Linked DNA regions of Rhinolophus ferrumequinum. The protein of the gene in region 2 purifies or fractionates together with the protein of the main gene of each other region. This does not show direct contact. Links are inferred from orthologs where the notes say so. Each region holds a gene or a part of one and is shown on either strand. Other genes may lie near its edges.

Region 1 (9,723 bases), on a different chromosome or scaffold from region 2:
AGGGCTGTAGTCGCGAAGTGGGGGGATTCTCCGAGAGCAGGGGCTCACAGTTCTCACATTCTCTCGAAAGTTCGGCAACAGGCTGAAGTGACTGAACCCCTACGCCCCTAGAACGTTGCTACAAGAAAGGGTAACAACAGAACGCTGCCACTTGAGCGGCGGGCGGGCCGGGGGGAAGGACTTGCCGGCAGGGGCCGGGCTAACCATGGCAAAGGACGGGGAGGAGGCGGAGTTCTACCTCACCGCACTCTATATAAGCGGGCAGTGGCCGCGGCTGCGCGGTGATACTGACCTTCAGGGTAGCGGCTCCAGCGCCATGGCGCCCTCCAGGAAGTTTTTCGTGGGGGGGAACTGGAAGATGAATGGGCGAAAGACGAGTCTGGGGGAACTCATCAGCACTCTGAACGCCGCCAAGTTGCCAGCCGACACCGGTAAGCCTTGTCGGGGAGGGATCTGGCTGGTGGGGGAGGGCGGGCGTGGCAGCGCCCTCTCCCGGGCCACCTGATGTCCTCGTAGACCTGGATGCAGGGCTGGGGACGAGGGCTGCTGGGGATCTGGACATTGACCCAGCAGCGCCGTGGCCCTGCAGCCGCGTACCTGGCGTGTGTCGAGGGGGAAAAGCAGGGCCACATTTTCTGGTGCCTTCGGAGAGTGGAGCGGGAAAGGACTTTTTGGGTCTTCGGGAGGAAGATGGCCCCGGGGCACGGACTGGGCTGCACCACGAGGAGTCCGGGGTGGAAGCGAAGGCTAGCCCCAGCCGGCTACGGGAGAGGCTGGCAACAGCCTCCAAGTGTGTGTGTATCGTGGGGGAGGCGGCTGAGTGGGCGTGCGGGCGACCAGCTACCTACCCCTGGGCCCGGCTCCGCGCGCTGCCGCACGTAGGCCGAGACTCCTCCCCGCGCTTTGCCAGCCGGTGGAGTGCCCCCCGCCACGCTGCTTTGGCCTCAGGAGCGCCCAGCTCTAATCCTTTCCCCGGGGCAGCCTGGAGGACTCCTGCCTTCCGTAGAAAGGGGCTGAGCTGTTGGGAATGAGTCATCCTACTCCTTCCAACCTGGAACCGGGAAAGTGCAGGGCCTCTGTAAGCTGGTGCTGTCCTCAGTCCTTCCATCCACCTAAATCACAGAACCACGGACTGGATCAAAAAGGCATCCTTTTTTATTCCCTAGAGACCCCAGTATAAACCCCAGGGGTTGGCCCCTTCTGCTTTTGCTAAAAATCCTTGCCTTGCCTGAGGGAGGTGGGGATGGGCTATTTTAGGGGGAGGCGGGGTTGGCCCCCAGAGAATGCTGAGTCTAGGAGGTACCCAGACCCAGAATAGCCCAGGGAAATCGGAGCCACAGCTTTGAAAAGAGCAGAGGGCAGGGTGAGGGCCATGGCCTCCCAGGGGCACTTGCAAGGGTCTAGGACTTGGGAACAGGCCCAGTCTGGGCTCAGTATGGACAAAAATCCTCTTGCTGGCGTGAAAAGAGAAGGAAAGTAGAACTAAGAAAGCTGGTGAAGGCTAGGGGGCTCCAGAGCACTGGATGGAGTTTGGAGAATGACGACTTCCTTGTGATCTCACCCTCAGAGGTTGTTTGTGCACCCCCCACTGCCTACATTGACTTCGCCCGGCAGAAGCTAGATCCCAAGATTGCTGTGGCTGCACAGAACTGCTACAAAGTGACTAATGGGGCCTTTACTGGGGAGATCAGGTGAGATGTAGGTGAGGCCCGGGGTGTGGGAACCCTGCCCTCACCTTCCTCATTGAGTGGAAAGCCACAGGTGGGCTCCCTGTGGAATTGTGGCTTCCATCTCTTTCTTTAGCCCTGGCATGATCAAAGACTGTGGAGCCACGTGGGTAGTGCTGGGGCACTCGGAGAGAAGGCACGTCTTTGGGGAGTCAGATGAGGTTAGTAACCTGGAGAGGAGGTAAGAGATGCCGTATTCCAAGAGTGGTGTCTCACCAAGTCTGTTCCTCAACAGCTGATTGGGCAGAAAGTGGCCCATGCCCTGGCTGAGGGACTTGGAGTGATCGCCTGCATTGGGGAGAAGCTAGATGAGAGAGAAGCTGGCATCACTGAGAAGGTCGTTTTCGAGCAAACCAAGGTCATCGCAGGTATCTCTGGAGAAAGGGATCTATAAGCCTAGCCAGGGCCACGGAGGCACAGAGGGTGAGGTCAGATGCCCTGCAGCCTGACTGATTCCCTTGCTGATACTGGAACAGAAAGGGGAAGGTGGGAACCCTTCCCTATCACCTATGCTCCTGCTCCATGGCTTTGATGCCTCTTGGAGTTCCTTCAACAGCCACCAGGGGGCAGAAGGCCATCCTTGTTCTTTAGTCCATGGGTATCTATCTACCTGGCCAAATAGCTCCTTCCTGTTCACCCTTCTTCCCTCTGTGATCTCTGTCCCACAGATAACGTGAAGGACTGGAACAAGGTGGTTCTGGCCTATGAGCCCGTGTGGGCCATTGGTACTGGCAAGACTGCAACACCCCAACAGGTAACAAATCCCAGGGGCCCCCCCTTATTCCTACCCTGCCTCAGCAGAACTGGCAACCACAGAGACCATCTGGGCCAGCCCCTCATTTTAAAGACAGGAGCCCCCAAGCCCAGAAAAGGAGAGTGATTTGTCCAACGACGTCCATTCTAGGGCCTGGGGGGTGATCGGAGCCCTGGTGTTACGGCTTGGATCCCAGGATTTCTGGGATTCCCTGAAACCACACTGCCTCTCTACGGGTGCCCAGGGATTTTTCCCCTTTGAGGGAAAGGCTGAAAGAGTCTTATTTAGTCTGGCTTCTTGTTCTAGGCCCAGGAGGTACACGAAAAGCTCCGGGGATGGCTTAAGTCCAACGTCTCTGATGCAGTGGCTCAGAGCACCCGCATCATTTATGGAGGTGAGTAGGTTTGGCTCTAGCCTGACGTGGGGTAGACAGAGAACTAGACTGATCCCTCAGACATGGAGGTGGGGATGGAGTATGCCCATCCCATCCCTGACCATTCCCCCTTTCTTTTCCCTTTCTAGGTTCTGTGACCGGGGCAACCTGCAAGGAGCTGGCAAGCCAGCCTGATGTGGATGGCTTCCTCGTGGGTGGTGCATCCCTCAAGCCTGAATTTGTGGACATCATCAATGCCAAATAATAAGCCCCATCCATCTCTGCTACCCTTCCTGCTATGCCAGGGACTACGTAGCTCAGAAGCCCCGTAACTGTACCCCGCTTCCCACACATGCTTCTGATGGTGTCATCTACCCCCTCTTGTGGCCTAATCCAAATTATACCTCTTCCTTTACCGTTTACACCTTATCCCATAATGGTTGGGACCAGGCCAATCCCTTCACTTATTGTAATGGTTGGAATAAAACATGTCACCAAGGTGGCTTCTCCTTGACTGAGAGGTAGAAGGGGTGGAGTTTGTTTGTGGGTCCCCTTAGTCCCCGGTAAAGGCAGGAGAAGCCACCCTTCTCTCCCATCTCGCACCATGGGGACAACAGCTTAGAGCCCTGTCGACCCCTCAGAGGCCAGGGGTGTTGTCCTTGCCCCTAGTGCCAATGCCTGTGTGTGTTGTGTATGTGATCAGTCCCACCTGGGGAGAGGGGAAATAAACACCTGGCACTAAGCCTTGTGATTCGTCCTTTACTCCTGTACTTTTCTCCACACCATCTCTTTCCTTTTTTGAGACGGCCACAGGACTCGTGCAAAAAAAATACCACGAACAGGTTTTTACGGTAGCACATCTCTTACTGTTTTTACTTGAAAAAAAGTCTGTGTACCAGGCCACCACAGTCTTAAATAAACAGCTCCCTCCACCCTCTGGGTAGCTTGGGTTGGGATAGGGGCCCAGCCTCACTGGCTTTAAGTAGCTGGTCTAGGCCAGCCGTGCCTCCTCCCTGGCCCCTGGGAGGGGTGGCATCAAGGCCCCATGCATCTGTGGTATCACAGGGTCACTGGTAGAGCAGATAGCGCTTCATGGCAGGGGGCAAGGGCAGAGCAGATACCTGGCCCAGCCGAGTAGCCCCCAGTGCTTGGCGCACGCACACGCGGCTCAGGTGCAGAAGGGAGTGTGGCTCCGCTGGGAGAGAGAAGGAGGGGAAGGTAAGTAGGGGTGCAGCCACCAGCCAGACATCCTCAGACTACAGGGTTCCCTTCTGCTTTCCTGTGCCAAGTCTGCTTGGTTGAGAGGGAGATCTAAGGCCCCCTGAAGTTCTGCATCTGCTCTTGGGGTGGGAGGCATCACATCCCCAGGCAGAGCTGGGGGTGATGCTCTAGCTAAGGCCCTCTAAGCAACTGTCCAAGGTGGCTCTGACGGGTAGAGCTGGCCCAGGCTTTGATTCCAGACAGGCCTTGGGGCTGGGGCTGATAAGCTGAAAGGATGGCCCTCCATTCTGTAACAGCTCATCATGGGTGATGGGAGAAGCATCCAGCCTCTGCTGAAGATTACAACTTCGGAGAACAGGTAACTTCAATCAGCTCCAAGCCTTGGCTGCATTAATTTCCCCAAGAAAACCCCGCCCCTGCAGCACCACCCAAACCTTGCCTCCACTGCTCTCCTCTGGCCACCGGCACCGGGCCTTAATGTCTCCTTCCTGGGAAGTCTACCTCTGAGGAAGTAAGTATGTGTCACAGGTCAGAGCCCAGGAAATCTGGTACACACCCTGGGTGGCTGGTACACACCCTGGGTGGCTGGCACTGCCAGTTCTCTTTCTTTTGGACTTGTACACCTAGCCTAGTACCCATTTAACCCTTTGCACCTCTGTTTCAGGGACTCATAGCTCCTCTAAAGCCCTAATCCCAGGAGTACCTCCCTCCACTCTTGAGGACTCACCACTTACTAGCAAGTTGATTTCCCAAGACCCACTTTTTACCTTTATTGCTGTTGGGAGGATTAAATTAGGTAACAGCTGTGAAGACCCTTAGCCATTCCTGGCACTGAATAGGGGTAGAAGGTCGGTCAGATGAGGGCTCGTTCCCTCTACGCTTGCAAAGATGTTGAGCTTCCAACCCAAACCACAGCCACCAGTAACAGAACACTTCCCACACCTGCCCCAGGCCTCACCTCTCCTTTCACCCAGGTAGCTGATGCGGACCTGGCACTGGCCCCAGACAGCGCTTACTGCTGGATAGAGGGTCCTGCCCTTCAGTCCCCGGAAGGCTGGCCCCAGGTAGGTTCCCCCAATAGCGTAGCCCAGAGTTCCCTCCTCCATGTCCAGAACCACCAGCAGCCTCTCCGGCACTTCCAGCTGTTCACCCTGAGGTCCGGCTGGATATTGAGGGGCACCGGGCCCCTTGCACTGATGGTACAGCTTCCCCCGCCCAATGTCCCAGCCCCATGACTCGCTGTTGCTGCCCAGCAGCGCCGCGTAGTGGTCAGCCTGCAGTGGGGCGAGGGCCGTGGCCACGCCCACCACAGCGTGGGTGCCCCTCTGCTCCTGGGGCCAGCTGATCTCCCAGGCGTGCAGGCCCCTCGAGTAGCCCCTCTTACCCCGGGCCCCATCAGTGCTCTGGGCCACGGGCCGCCGCTCAAAGCACAACCCCTCTTCCTTGACCTCGATGTTTTCTGAGCAGTCCTTGGGGTTCCACCCGTGGCGCCGTTGGGTCCCCAGGTCAGGAGGGGGAGCAGATAGCAGCTCCTCCAAGCCTTCCGGACAAGAGAGGTCGGGGCACAGGGCCTGTGAGGTAAGGGTGCCGTTGTTGCCCCCTGCCAGGGCCGTCTGGCCCATGGAGGTGAGGAGCTGGGGGACTCCCCGAAAGAGTCTTGCTGGGGCGTCTCGTCTCCCTTCTGCAAGTTGAGTTCCTGTTCGGTATTGACCTGGAGAGGAATTGGGAGAGAAGAGGGTGTGAAGTGCACGATCCTGGCGGAGGGGGCTCCTCACCCTGGCGCCTCATCCTTTCACCACGCGTTTGCCCACTGCCCCGCTCCTCCCTCTTCGTTCCCCCAAAGCTCCTCGGCCCATCACCTTGCCCTCACCCATCTGTCCCCGTCTCCCGAGATTCTCGCGAGTTCGTCCCCTTCGAGCCTCTCTAGGAGCCATCCCCTCGCCCTCCCCCTGCCCGCCTCACCGCTCCCGAACCTCGCTTGGCTCCCCAGGCCCGGAGGTCGCCGGGCCTCAAGAGGAGCCCGGCCGAAAGTCGCTACGCGCACCGGGCGCAGAACGCCAGGCGCAGAACGCCGGCCGCTTCCGTGTACAGCGCCGCCCCCAGGTCTCACCCAGGCCCGAGGCCCCGCCCCACGGGGGCCCTCTAGTTGCCGCCGCAGGTCGCGCTCCGCCCCGAGGCCACGCCCCCTCTGGGAGGCTCTCGCGGGCGGTTAACCCTTCTCTTACATCACTTTAGGATTCTTGGAGGTCTGTTCTCCACAGGCAAAACCTTTGAGCAGCTGGGCAATCAACTCCCGATCCCCTAAAGATGAGGGGCATAGGGTCAAAGGGGGGGGGGGGGATTGTGTTTCATTGTGCTGACCTCTATTTCCGTGGTCCTATGATTCTGGATCATTGTTTCTGGGCAGATTTCTTTCTGACCCAGTTTTGAGTCACCCGGTTCTAAGTCTGAGGTCCGAACACTTGTGTTTCGGTTCTGAGCGGTAGGTGTCATAGGTCGCCATGCTGTTCTAGTCTTCATCCTGGATGTCAATCCATTCCTGAGCTGTTGGTCTCATTTGGGAGAGTGTAGTGGTTAAACCTTGGTTGTGGGGGAAGCTATGCCACTAATTAGCTGTGTGACCTTGGAGAGGTTGCCAAACTTCTCTAAACCTGTTTTCTCTTGTGTAAAATGGGAATAATGGTGGTACTTACTCATAGGGTTGTAATGGAGTTGAAATAATCCAGGTAAAGCACTAAATGTGTACGCACTCACTAAGCATAGCTATTATGTTTATTTAATGTTTAGTAAGTGCCCACTCTATAAAGAGGCAATATAATATAATGGTGAAGGATGCCTACTGTGTATCCGGGCTGACTGGATGTGAATACCTGAAGGCCAGCATGCACATGACCTTGGGCAAATTTCTTAACGTCCCTGGTGCTCTTTCTTCCTCTGTAAAACGGAAATGCTGTTGGTATCTACTGCATACAGTGTCATGAAGATTCAGTAAGTTTTTTCTAAAGCACAGCTTCTGGTTCAAATGTAATCATTTGTGCTAAGCACTGAAGTTTAAGCAGTGAATCCTCAAGGAGGTTACAGGGACATTTATAAAAACAGTTTATCAAGTAGTAGATGAAATTATGGAGATATAAAGAAAATATATCGGGGGCCGGCCCGGTGGCTCAGGCGGTTAGAGCTCCATGCTCCTAACTCCGAAGGCTTCCGGTTCGATTCCCACATGGGCCAGTGGGCTCTCAACCACAAGGTTGCCAGTTCAATTCCTCGACTCCCACAAGGGATGGTGGGCTGTGCCCCCTGCAACTAGCAACGGCAACTGGACCTGGAACTGAGCTGCGCCCTCCACAACTAAGACTAAAAGGACAACAACTTGAAGCTGAACAGCACCCTCCACAACTAAGACTGAAAGGACAACAATTTGACTTGGAAAAAAAAAGTCCTGGAAGTACACACTGTTCCCCCAATAAAGTCCTGTTAAAAAAAAAAAAAAGTATATGGGAGTAAAAAGGATGGGACTCCTAACTAGGAAAGTGTCCTGGAGGAGATGACACTGGGTTGAATCTTAAAGAATGCCTAGTAATTGGCCTGAGAGGTGTTTTTGCAGGATGGGGTGAGGTTAGAGTTGCTGCATGTAGAACGTATTCCAGACAGAGCTGGCTTGAAAAAAAGCCAGGAGTGGTAGTTGGATCTGGGGAAGTTTGAAGTCTTCATTCAGGGTTGCTGCAGCAAGAAAGGAAGCAGGGACAAGCCTAGAGAAGTCAGAGCCAGATCATGAAAGCCTTGTAGGCCAAGTTAAAGAACACAAGTGTTAGCCTCTGGACAGGCCAGGAATGGGGAGAAGCAGGAGAGGAACATGGCCAGATACTTATTTTAGAAAAACCACCCTGACAGCAATGTTGAGGAGGCTTTGAGAGTAATAGGACATTAAAAATCAAGGCTGGTTCTAGCAGCTCAGGTGACAAGTGTCAAGAACCTGAAATAGGGCAGTAGAAATAAGGATGAAAAGAATTCAAGAAACACTGATGGAATTGCAAAGTTTGGTGACAGATTAGACGCTGAGGCCAGAGAAAGGAAAGAAAGGGAGGTTTCCAGTCTGGAAGTCTGTTGGAAGTTGGTGCCACTAATGAAGATGGAGATGACAGGAAGAGTAGCAATTGGGAGTAGGAGTAGGAGGGTGGGAGAGAGATGGTGAGTTCAGTTGAGGACATGTTTTTGAGGTAGCTGAGCAACAACTATATGGAACCATTTGAACACACTTGAAAATGGCAGGTCTGGAGAGGGAGAGGCCTTGGGCTAGAGATATAAATTTGGGAGGTGAGTCAGCCTTTATTCAAGAGTTGAAATATGAGAATCAATGAAGTGACTTGGAGACAGTATGTAGAGTGAGAAGAGGGTCAAGGAGGATACTGTGCAGCAGAAAATTCAGGTTTGATTACGTACAAAATTTTTTTGGTCATTGGCTACTTTGGTGAGACAACACATGTGGGTAGTGGGAGATGGGAATCCAGGCTGAAGGGGCTAAACTGGCACTTTCTGTGTGTTGGGCACTGTGCTACAAGCTTCACATTTTGGGGGGATAGAAAGTTGGGAGAGGTGAGGTGACAATTATTCTCATAGTCAAAATTACCCTTGAAAATCCCTTACTCCATCATTTAGGTACAACATATGTTAGTTTTGAGTAAAATACAATATGTGGCAGTATACATACAGTATATGTACAGTGAGATGCAGGGTAAAATTTTATACTATTTTAATTTTTAAAAAAAGGAGAAAGCATATTAAAAAGAAAGATGTGAACCTGAACACTTGTCATCCACACAACCTGGATATTCTTGCTAATGTGACAACAAAAATAATGACATCATGACTGTGGATAGTGGCCTGTGATGAGTATTAGTGCAGGATCTGTGTGATAACCAAATGGATGAAGGCTTAGGGAACAGAGAGTGAGACTATGCCACGGCTGACTCTAGTTCAGCTTGAAAAGTTGATCACACTTGCTCAGCAACTGGTTGTTTCATGCATGGTATTCACCAATTGTTGCCACTCGATCTTGAACTGCTCAAACATTTGTTGATAATAGCTCAAATATTCCATAATGTTACAAGTAATTTTAAAACTTTGTATTGATATATAACATATATAAAGTACACTAATCTTAAACTGCTCAATGAATTTTTACGTATTTATATGTTGTGTGACCACCATTTCCAGCATCAAGATCAGATATATTTCCAGCATCCCAGAAAGCTCCTTCTTGCCCTTTTCCTAACACTACACCCCTAAAAGTAACTACCATTTGACCTCCGTCAGTATAGATTATCTTTGCCTTTTCTTCTATTTCATATAAATAAAACCATTTAGTATCTATTCTTTTGTCTGGCTTATTTTTCTCAACATTATGTCTGTGAGAGTCATCTGTGTTGTTGCATGAAATAGTAGCTCATTATTTTCATTGTTTTACAGTATTCTATTATACGAATATACCACAATGTATTTATTCTACTGTTGATGGGCTCTGAGTTGTTTCCAGTTTTTAGCTATTATAGAGAAAGCTACTATGTATAGTATTATACAAGTCTTTTGGTGGACGTAGGCACTCAATTTTATTGGGTGCATACTTATGTGCAAAATTGCTGGGTTATAAA
Region 2 (9,723 bases):
AACAATTGGTAAGAATAATAGTGAATAAGTGAACAGGTTACTATTCACCTGTTGTTTTTGACAAGACTAGTCCCAAACTAGTTATTAAACATCATTCCCCAGAATTCTCTGTGTTGCAGATAAGCCTATGTCTCTCCCTGGGTTTCCTGCCTCCTTCTGTAAGGGTCAAAGGAATTCCCAAGAACTCCGTGCATTTGAAGGGAGTAGGAACGACCCTCCCCAGCTTCTACACTTTCAACTGCAGCAGAGAAGAGGAAACCTTAGAGGTCTGTGTGTTTCTGGCAAGATCCCCACCCCTGCCTAGTCATGACACACCCCCACTATCTGCCCTTCCACCATTAAAACCAATATCATTATGCCTTTAGCTTTATGTCAGTCTCTGCAAGAAGCCCCTATACCTAGGTCACCCCTCATCTGGGTACACTTCATCACTTACCCCTTTTTGATTCCATTTCCCCAACCTCTGACCTCTGGACAAGCAGTGAAATCCTCCGTATCCTCAAACTCTTCTCTTAACGGTTCCTTTACTTCCTTATTCTAAGTGGAACTTGATTCTTTCCTGAAGTCACTGCTTTTCCTGCATCTCTCTCTTGAGATGGCTAATGTACCACTGGGCCTGGAGGTCATGTGATGGTCTTCTTTGTTCCCCACTGCCATTTCTAAATCATCCTTCTCTCCTCTTCCCTAGAAGCACTCAGCTTGGAGTCTGGTGTCAATGGACCATACATCCATTAACTCTCCTTGCCATAATCATGTACTGACCCCCCCAGGTCATACTCCATCATTCCTTAATTAATTTAGATACTGACTCACTATCATTCTCTCCAACACTACTCCTGTCATAATTCTTAGTGATTTCAATATTCACACAGAAGATTTTTAAAACCCTGGTGTTGTAGTAAGGTTTCTCCTGAAAGTAGACCCTGAAACAAGGACTTCGGTTACAAATGGTTTATTTGGGAGATAACCCAGAAAGCAGGAACCAGGGAGCAAGAAGAATAAGATAAGGAGGAAAAGCCTCTGTAAAGGTGTGGCATTAAGGTCACTACCATGAATGAAAGAAACTTGAGTCCACTGAGACCTCTGCGAAGCATCCTGAGTGCCCCACAAAATTGTTTGCATGAGGACCAGAGGCTGACGCACTTATTCACTGGCTTCTGACCTGTTAGTTAAGGGTTGTTCTCAGGAGCTTTATCTTCCCCACACTTTGCTGTACTTTCCTGTGAACCTAGCAGGCTGCTGGGCCTTCAGAGAAGACCCTGAGGTGAAAGAAGAAAGGAGAGGTGCCCTTTTCGGGTGGGAAGCTGTCAGGGGAGTCTGAAATGTCCATCATAGCTGCTACTGAAATCAGAAGTAGATCAAGGGGATGTGACTAGGACACCATGAGAATGCCTGGCTTCTCAGTTCCCTGGCCTCGTCTGTCCCAGTGATCCTGTTCTCCACCCTACCTCACTACTGTCTCCCTGATCATAGCTTAGCCCTTGTCATTACCAATAACTGCAACCGATAACAGCCTAAGCTCAATGTCACCCTCCAGCCACCTGCTCCTATCTTCCCAACTTACTCCCTCTGGTATCTTCATTCCAACAACCCTTCGTCTCTCACCCATACAGTACTTTAATCCTACTATATTTTCAGTTTTTCACCCTCCAGATTCAATTTTAACCCCATGGTCAATCATCATACTCTTACACATATGCTCAACTCGCTGCAACATCCTCTGTCAACAAAACCCTAACCTGGATTGGAGCCTAGTGTGTATCAATTCAGTGCCTGCACTTGAGTGTCTGAATGTGGCTTTAGAACGAAACAGGTCCTGCTACTCAAGAGCAGTGAGACCTGAGGTGTCTTACTTAACCCTGCTGTCTTAGTTTCCTTAGCTATGCCAAGTAGTCGCAACTAAAATTCAGGGCCACTACTCTCAATTGGGTCCTTGGGACTGCCCAGGAATCAGAACGCATTTCCTCTATCTCTTCACTCTCCCTTCTATATTCTTTTCTCATTTCTTCTTAAACTTCAGAATATCTGTTGTTTAAGACATTTGCAAGAAAATGATTATGTAATATACTCGTATGTATAAATTGGACTGTGAGAGTTTCACTCTGGACCTGGTCCCATGGAAATCTTAGGATGGTTCTGTTCAGTTTCATAGTTGCTAGTGGGGTTTTCACTTCCTTGTCCAGGGCCCCATTTTCTAGAAGGGAGAGTGGAGCTTAGAAGTGTTTTGGACCATGGAGGGGGATGGTCATTCAACCAGAGCAGATTCATGGGCTGAGCGCAGACTTAAAGCACAGGTAACTGTCTTACAGGCAATATAGAGAAAGCTGCCTCCGAGATACCCTCTCTCAAGAAAGACAACTAACACACCTCTCAGCACAAGCAATGTGTGGCATTTCCTGGCACAGCAAAGAAGGATCTTCTGGCTTAGGAATAAGGATAGAAATTGATATAGGGATATGGTTAGATTCCGGTTAGGGTTAGGCTTAGGATTGGCTCCCATGGATCTTCCTGGATAGTCTTTTGAGACAGACTCTTTTTCTCCATGTGGTATACAGAGATCTGGGAGACCCCAACAATCATTCTCCTCCATCTCTTGGGGCTGTTTCTGTCCTCCCTCTTCCACTCCCAAATCTTGCAAACCCTTGGTGCCCCATCTAGTTTTTCACCAGTTCTCTAATCAATATACAGTGTATTGATTAAACTTTATATACTATCTTTACATGTAAAAAAGCTTTTTGTCTTTTGCTTTGCTTTTTACAAATCAAAAGCTTTGTTTTATAGCTGTTGTATTTAAAATAGACTTCCAGAGCCTATTGTGGAAGTAATAATCCCAAACATCGTGGACACAAGGGATGCATTAGGGCCTGCTGGTAATTGTTTGCATTTCTACAAGAAAGTGTGAAAAAAGTACGCACAAACATACTTTTCAGTAATTTATATCACACAGCTGAGTGAAAATAAAGATGTGTGGGAGTCTTGCCTTCAATTTGTAAAAATGCAACAAGTGTGAAGTGCAATAAAGTGAAGAGCAATAAAAAGAGGTATGCCTGTAGTGGGTACTCAAACAAGTATTAAATACTTAATTGGATTCTTTAAGTAGGGTCATTAATTAATTGATTTATTCAATTATTACATCATAGTGTCTTCGGACTTTTTTTAGGGTACATAAAACTGATTATAATTTAATCAAGAGTCTTACATTTTAAATTAAGCAGTAGAGTTGGACTACAGTTGAAGATAACCCAGTTTCACAGGAAAAGGGAACCATGATTATATAAAGTTTATTCTGGACTAGGCCTTTTTCTCTGACCCAGTTGAGTGACTTTGGCAGGATAACCTCTCTGAGCCTCATTTTTGTCCTCTGTAGAACAAAGGTGACCTCTATGGTAAGAGTCATCCCTGTGTTAACATTCTGCCAGAACACACAGGCATAGTGGCTCTGAATCCTTGTCCTACCATTTACTCATTGTTTAATAGTGTATTGCTCTCTACTAAGTCATTTGTAAAATGGAGACACCCAGATGGCATGAAAGTTATGTTGATTTAGTGAAGTATTACATAAGCTTTCCAAATTACAGTTCTGCTTCTATTCACTCCATAGCAGTGAGAGTTAAAATGGGAGTTTGATCATGCCATTCCTGTGTTCAAAAGCCTGCAATGATTCCCTATCTCACTCAGGTAAAAGCCAGTCTTTATGGGTGGTCTACAAGGCCCTATATAATCTTCTGATCGCCTTATTCTCTGCCCTGAACACACCAACCTTCTCACTATTTCTCGGATACTCTTGGCAACCTACTCTCTGTGCTTCCCCTCTCTGGGATACTCTTCTCCCACAAATGACCTGGCTTCTTCCTTACCTCTTTCAAGTCTTTGCTCAAATGCCATCTTCTCAGTGAGGACTACTTGAATCACTGTATTTAAAATTTCCAACTTCATCCTTCCCTTCCGTTTTATTTTACTACATAGCTCTTATTTACTTCCAACATATCATGAATGCTAGTAAAAATGTATAATACAATACCAGGTATATTGTAGGTTGCACATATAAATTATATTCTCTTCCTTTGGCCAGTCCCTTGTGATCTGAAGGGATAATGCTTGGGGGCTTATGGTTTAGGATCTTCTGGGACAACGCCTTCAGGAAATCCAAGGTTAACGTTCATTGCCCAAACAGTCTTTCATAGATTATTTTAGTGCGAGACACACTTGAATAGAAATATTAATAGTTAAGGCCCTTTCTGCCATGTAAGATCTCTGCAACTTAAAAGAGGGCCCTCACCCAACCATGCTGGCATTCTGATCTCCGACTTCCTGCCTCCAGAACAGAGAAATAAGTTTCTGTTGTCTATTAAAAAAATAGTTAATAGTCAACATTTCATTCATTCATGTATTCATTCATTCATGTATTCATCCAACACATATCTATGGGGCGGTTTCTATGGCCAGTTCTTATGGAAGACAGCTGTTACAAGCATTTCATTGGGGTAAGATACCTCCCTTAACACTCAAGTCGCGGGATTTGGGGCGGGGAATAAAGGGTCTGGCCTGGTCTCGCCAGCAGAGGGCGTGATCCCACCCTCTTTGCAGCCTCTCGGCCCACCAAGGCTTCCAGGCTCCCACGCTCGCTCCCGAGCGCGCCCCCGCCCGCCGCGTCACGTGATGCGGCGGTGGAACCTGAGCTGCCGGGCCTAAGCCGAGCTAAATTCGTTGCCGGTGGCCGCTGCGGGTGCAACCACAAAGGCTAATCCGAAGAAGTGGGGAGGGTCGTGGAGTCGATGCTTCCTCTTCCAATTCAGGTCGGCTCCCGTTACCTTCTCACCATTCACCGTCGCCGTCTCCCTGAGCGTTTGCATGAGCTCTTTCGTGTGGGGAAGCTCCGGTGACCATGTAGGGGGAAAGAGTGAGGAAGCCTGGGACGAAGTCAGCGCTGTCTGCACGCCGCCCGGCGCCCACCACACCCCCGGTGCGGGCCGGTGGGCCCGTCGGCCCTGGTGGGACAACTCCGGCCTCCGGTTGTGGCCTGGCCCGGGGCGCCACGAAATCTCGCTACGTCTCGCGAGAATCTAAGTTGAAGGAACATGGCGACGTCTCATCTGTTAAAGGTAAGACCCTCAGGCTAGCTTGGCTTTTACTTCGCGACCGCTGGGTTCAGCTCTTTGGGAAAGGTTCGGATCGGGTTTAGGGGCAAATTGTAGGAGTGTTCAGGGGTTGTCTACCGGAAGGGAGGCCGGGGAAGCTGCCGCCCAGGACCGGAACGCGGGTCCCTGGCCTTGGGGTCGAGAGGCTCTGGTTGTCCCTCGGGCCGGTTGACCGGTGTGTGAAAGGCCCAGCTGAGGGATGGCGGGTAGCGATGCTTTCAATGGACCAGCTCTGGCCTCGGACGGGAGATGAATGGTGGTGCTTTGCCGTGACCGATTGGGCAGTTAGTACTCTTAGGGTCTCGGTTTGTTCTGAAGCGAGAGTCTAAGACGTATAAAAGGAAAATCCAAGAAAATGCTGCCTGACATAGGGATCAATGACGACCCCCACCTCCTTAATTTCAGTTCTTATTCTCTCTGCACGGAATTCTAAGTCAGACGGCAAGCACTGCCATCCACTCCACTCCCGCCGTCCCTTTCTGCACGCTGTACTTTCCCTCCTACTCTCCCATTCTCGAGTTCATATTTTACCCTTTTTTCCTTAGGAAACTGCTCCTCAGCCCCACTACAGCACACAACCAGATGACTACGGTACTGAGGAAGTGCTGCCATCGCTTTAGGGCTTAGGAAAGTTACCTTATCAAAGAAAACGGTTAGTTAGTTTTATATATTTGGGATAGCAAGGGAGATCTAGAGTCAGGAGCAGATTCTCTACTATCAATTAAAACGTTTGGAGGAAAACGAGAAAAGGCACTAATCTGTTTATTCTGTGCTTGTGTTTATAGTAGGAACGTTTTGCCTTAAAAGTATTTACTGAATTGGTCTGATTAGCTCAGGGAACATATATACAAAGGATGAAGTACTCCCCTCGAACCCATCATTATACATTCAGGCCGTGAGGATGGATAGTGGAAAATAATTGAATAGAAAATATGTTAAAATATACCGGAACCTCACTCATGTCCTTTTTTAGACTACTGATGTTAACTGCCTGATAGATGGGACTGTCCTATAAAATGTAGAACTGTTTTAACTAACTTAAGAGGCAATAATATTATCTTCCTTTAAATGGGGGAGGGGCCTAGAACTAGACTGAATTTCAGCCACTTAGAAGCTGTGTGACTTCCGGCAAGTTTCTTAATCTCGGCCTAGGTTTCCTCATCAATGAAATGGAATTATTAATAGAACCTGTTTCATAGGAGCGTTTTGAAGATTGAGTTAATGTATATAAAATGGTTAAAACCGTGACTGGGACTTAATTAGTACACAATACACCTAAATTACTAGAATCACTACTCTTGTTTCTCTAAGAAAACTAAATAACGGAATTGAGTAACCCATCCTACTGGACTCGTCTTTTGTAACATTATTGCAAATTTTAATATATTAGTTCAGAAAGAAAACTTGTTTAACTTCTAAAGACTCCTATTAAAGCGTCTGCATGATTACATAAGCAATCGCTTATGCTATTAATTGAAATCATGAAAAAAATAATTGGGTTCCTGATTCTTTGAATTTTTGACTGGATTACATGCATATACAGCAGTCTTTCCCCACCCCCCAATTATCTCAGCAAAGAGCCTTTTACTTTATTCTACCCCATACAAAGCTTTGCAAAGGATTGTTGGGAGGAGATACAAGTCTGAAGTTATATCAGTCAACACTACTAAGTGGTTACTTTGTAGAGATTATGAATCTACATCTACAGCATACATCTATAGAATAAAAAAGCTGCTTGAATATATAGAAAATGGACACTTAGTGTTTAGGTTAAAAGGATAACAAGAATTCAGAAGTTCTGTAATTCAAACAACTTTTATAAATAAAAGGAAGGTGGCAGTGCTTTGAAAAAACTGGTAAATTCCTCAGTCATTCTAGTGAACGTGAAAACAGATGCCAAAGATGCACTGGGAAAATTTCAATAAAGTTGTTTTATGAAATGTTGAAAGGGGGAAAAAGAATTTTTAAATATTATTTTATATCCTATGTGATTTTAAATATGTACAACTAAGGGAATATAATGGACAATGTAAATACACGTTTAATTCTTTTATCTGTATCACCAAAAGTTTACATATTTAAATTGGCCGGAAATCTTTCCTTCTCTTCTTATTGGGGGGAAGGGGAATTGCCCTAAATTCTTATATCTAGAATTAACTAATTAAAAACTGGGAAGTTTGTCTTGGAGAAATGTAATGTGACCTTGCCAGGGTGGAGCCATAACATAAGTCAGAGGGTCATTTAAATTCAAGGCTAGTGCTGCGTTGAACAGAGACAGGGCTGGCTAGGAAGTGGCCACGTTAGCCTCATTTCCTTTCTTGACAGAATTCATAGACTGGTTCCTTAGAACACTGCCTGAGACATTGTGTAATTAGATTTCACCACAGCATATTTGACAGAATTATCATGTCCTATGACCAAAATGGAGGTATGTGGGCGAGGTGAGAATACAAGTAGAATTTGATTCATTATCAGTTAAACAACTGTACCTGAAGGGAGGCCTTTACCGTCCTGCTGAAAGATAATGTCCTCTACCTATTTACCAGTAACTTGGATTAGGTTAAGTTTATTGAATTTGTGGATGACAGAGTTCAGAGGAATGTGTTATGAAAGATAATAAGAAGCTAATATGAAAGCCAATATGTTATGAAAGATAACAAGATTCAAAACTTTGATGTGGAACTTATAAGTCAGAACCCAATGTAATAAAAACCACCTACTTTTTTTATTTTGGAATTTGTAATAATTGTATTCTCCATTTAAAGCAAGTGGACTATTGCTGGATTTGGGGAATCTTTTGGATATAAAAAGATTTGTGTTGTACATTTTGACAAATACAATTATCAGTTGCTTGGGTGGTTTAGATCTCCAAAAACTTTTTAGTATTACTACTTTAACTTTTTGTTTTACCATATAGTTCCACTTGTTTCTTTACTTTTGCAGTTATCTAGGCCCTCAGTGCTCATTTTCTTTATTTCCGATTGAATATTCTTTTCCAAATAACAATTGTTTAAATCTTATTTTTCTGAGCATTATCCCCGTTTAATTCTTAGCACATTATTTTTTCCAGCTGTTTGGGTGTCCTTAACTTCCTGGGTCAATACCACAAATTTTTCTAGTTTCCCCTTGTTCTCCTCTTTTCCAAGGCACCTGTTGTATTGCCTCCTTCCACTTGTTCTGCCTTCATGCACCACCAGGTCTCGGCAGCATGCCTCCTGTTATTTTTATTTGTCTCCTTTATTCTCACTTCTGTGGGGATAAACGTTCATGTAACTCCTCATATAAACTTGTGCTCTGCTTTGGCCTCAAACTTTTGCCCTTTTCTCTCTTTCTATTCATAATCACAGTTCTTAGAAAAGCAGAACCCACTTGCTGCCTTTATAATTCTTCACCTTTTTTAACTTACTGTGACTTTGTTCTCTCCCCCCACACACAGTTGTATTGAAGCTGTTAGTCTTAAGAGCTCTGGCAATTTCCTGATTGCCAAATGAGGTTATTCTCTGATACACTTATCCCTTCTGATATTGTTGATTACTACCTCTACTTCCCTTTTGGTTTATGACAGTCTCTCCTGGGTCTCATATCTCGCAAATCACCTGTATTTTTCATTGATCTCCCTTCTCTCCTTCCCAGTATAATTATTTCTCAGGATTTAATCTTCAGCCCTTTTCTTTGTACTTTTTTTTTTTCTGGGACAGTCTTCACTCCCATGATTTCACTATTTTTATCTCTTAGCTGTGATCTGAGCTCTAGACCAAAACAGTGCTAACCATATCACTTTCTTGCTGAGATACCTTTGATGGTTCAAATTCTTTGAGATCCTTCCAAGCTGGGTCTTCTCCCTAATAACACATTTATATTCATATTCCCTCCCCACACCGGACCTCTCTCTCTCTACCTGGCTGGTTATTTGTTGGTTCACTAGCATACCAGAGTCTTCAAGACTCTTTATATGTTTGCTATTTCTTCTGTCAGGAATGCCCCCTCCCCTGTTAAAATCTTATGTATTCATCAAGACCCAGCCCAGATGCCTCCTTGTTTCTGAGTGCTCTTATTTGGAATTAATTGTTGCCTACTCTGCATGCACAACCATAGCATTGCATCAGTCTCTTCTAGCACTTACCTTATGCCTTGTGTATTAGTTACAGGATCTGTTTACATATTTAACTCCTTTTCTGGATTGTAAGCCCCATTAGTGCCAGGATTTCATTAATCTGTTGATGCCGTAACTCTCTAGTGTGGTGACCACTCATGGTACGTGCTCCGGAAATGAGTGATGACTGGTTGGAAAGAAGTCTAGTGCAGTACCTGTGTACTGGAGATGCTCAGTGAGTGAGTGTTGATTGGTTAAAAGAAGGAATTTCTGGTTTTATTTATTTATTTTTAATTAGGTGTAGAGAGAGGGAGCAAGAAGGGGGGTAGAGGTTATAAAACCAATCCAGAAGAAAATCCACACTTTAAACTGAAATATGAAGCTCACTGCTTTCCTTGGTGGGAACATTTCTATCCTTTGAGAGGAAAGAAAATAGAAATACAAAGGAGTGATTTAGAGTGTGTGTAGAATTTATTCATTATTAAAATAGTT

The links. Proteins that work in one complex are often made in the same cells at the same time.
Region 1: the proteins of CUL5 (region 2) and SPSB2 purify together in Homo sapiens (affinity purification with mass spectrometry; 4 studies listed by BioGRID and IntAct, counting the BioPlex papers as one, with this or other methods). This does not show direct contact. The link is inferred for Rhinolophus ferrumequinum from reciprocal best matches to the Homo sapiens genes CUL5 and SPSB2.

Annotation. Positions count from the first base shown.
Region 1 is NC_046293.1:24,045,919-24,055,641, forward strand, and holds SPSB2 (SPRY domain-containing SOCS box protein 2), read right to left. Parts: upstream 6,188-9,723; 5' UTR 6,038-6,187; intron 5,787-6,037; 5' UTR 5,698-5,786; coding exon 4,891-5,697; 3' UTR 4,050-4,890; coding exon of another isoform or gene 3,922-4,049; 3' UTR 3,698-3,921; downstream 1-3,697. Other genes in the region: TPI1 (triosephosphate isomerase), read left to right, coding at 206-431, 1,568-1,691, 1,804-1,888, 1,963-2,095, 2,396-2,481, 2,788-2,875, 3,004-3,119. UniProt on the Homo sapiens protein: Substrate recognition component of a SCF-like ECS (Elongin BC-CUL2/5-SOCS-box protein) E3 ubiquitin-protein ligase complex which mediates the ubiquitination and subsequent proteasomal degradation of target proteins.
Region 2 is NC_046294.1:76,756,214-76,765,936, forward strand, and holds the start of CUL5 (cullin-5), read left to right. Parts: upstream 1-4,465; 5' UTR 4,466-5,078; coding exon 5,079-5,102; intron 5,103-5,683; exon of another isoform or gene 5,684-5,790; intron 5,791-9,723. UniProt on the Homo sapiens protein: Core component of multiple cullin-5-RING E3 ubiquitin-protein ligase complexes (ECS complexes, also named CRL5 complexes), which mediate the ubiquitination and subsequent proteasomal degradation of target proteins.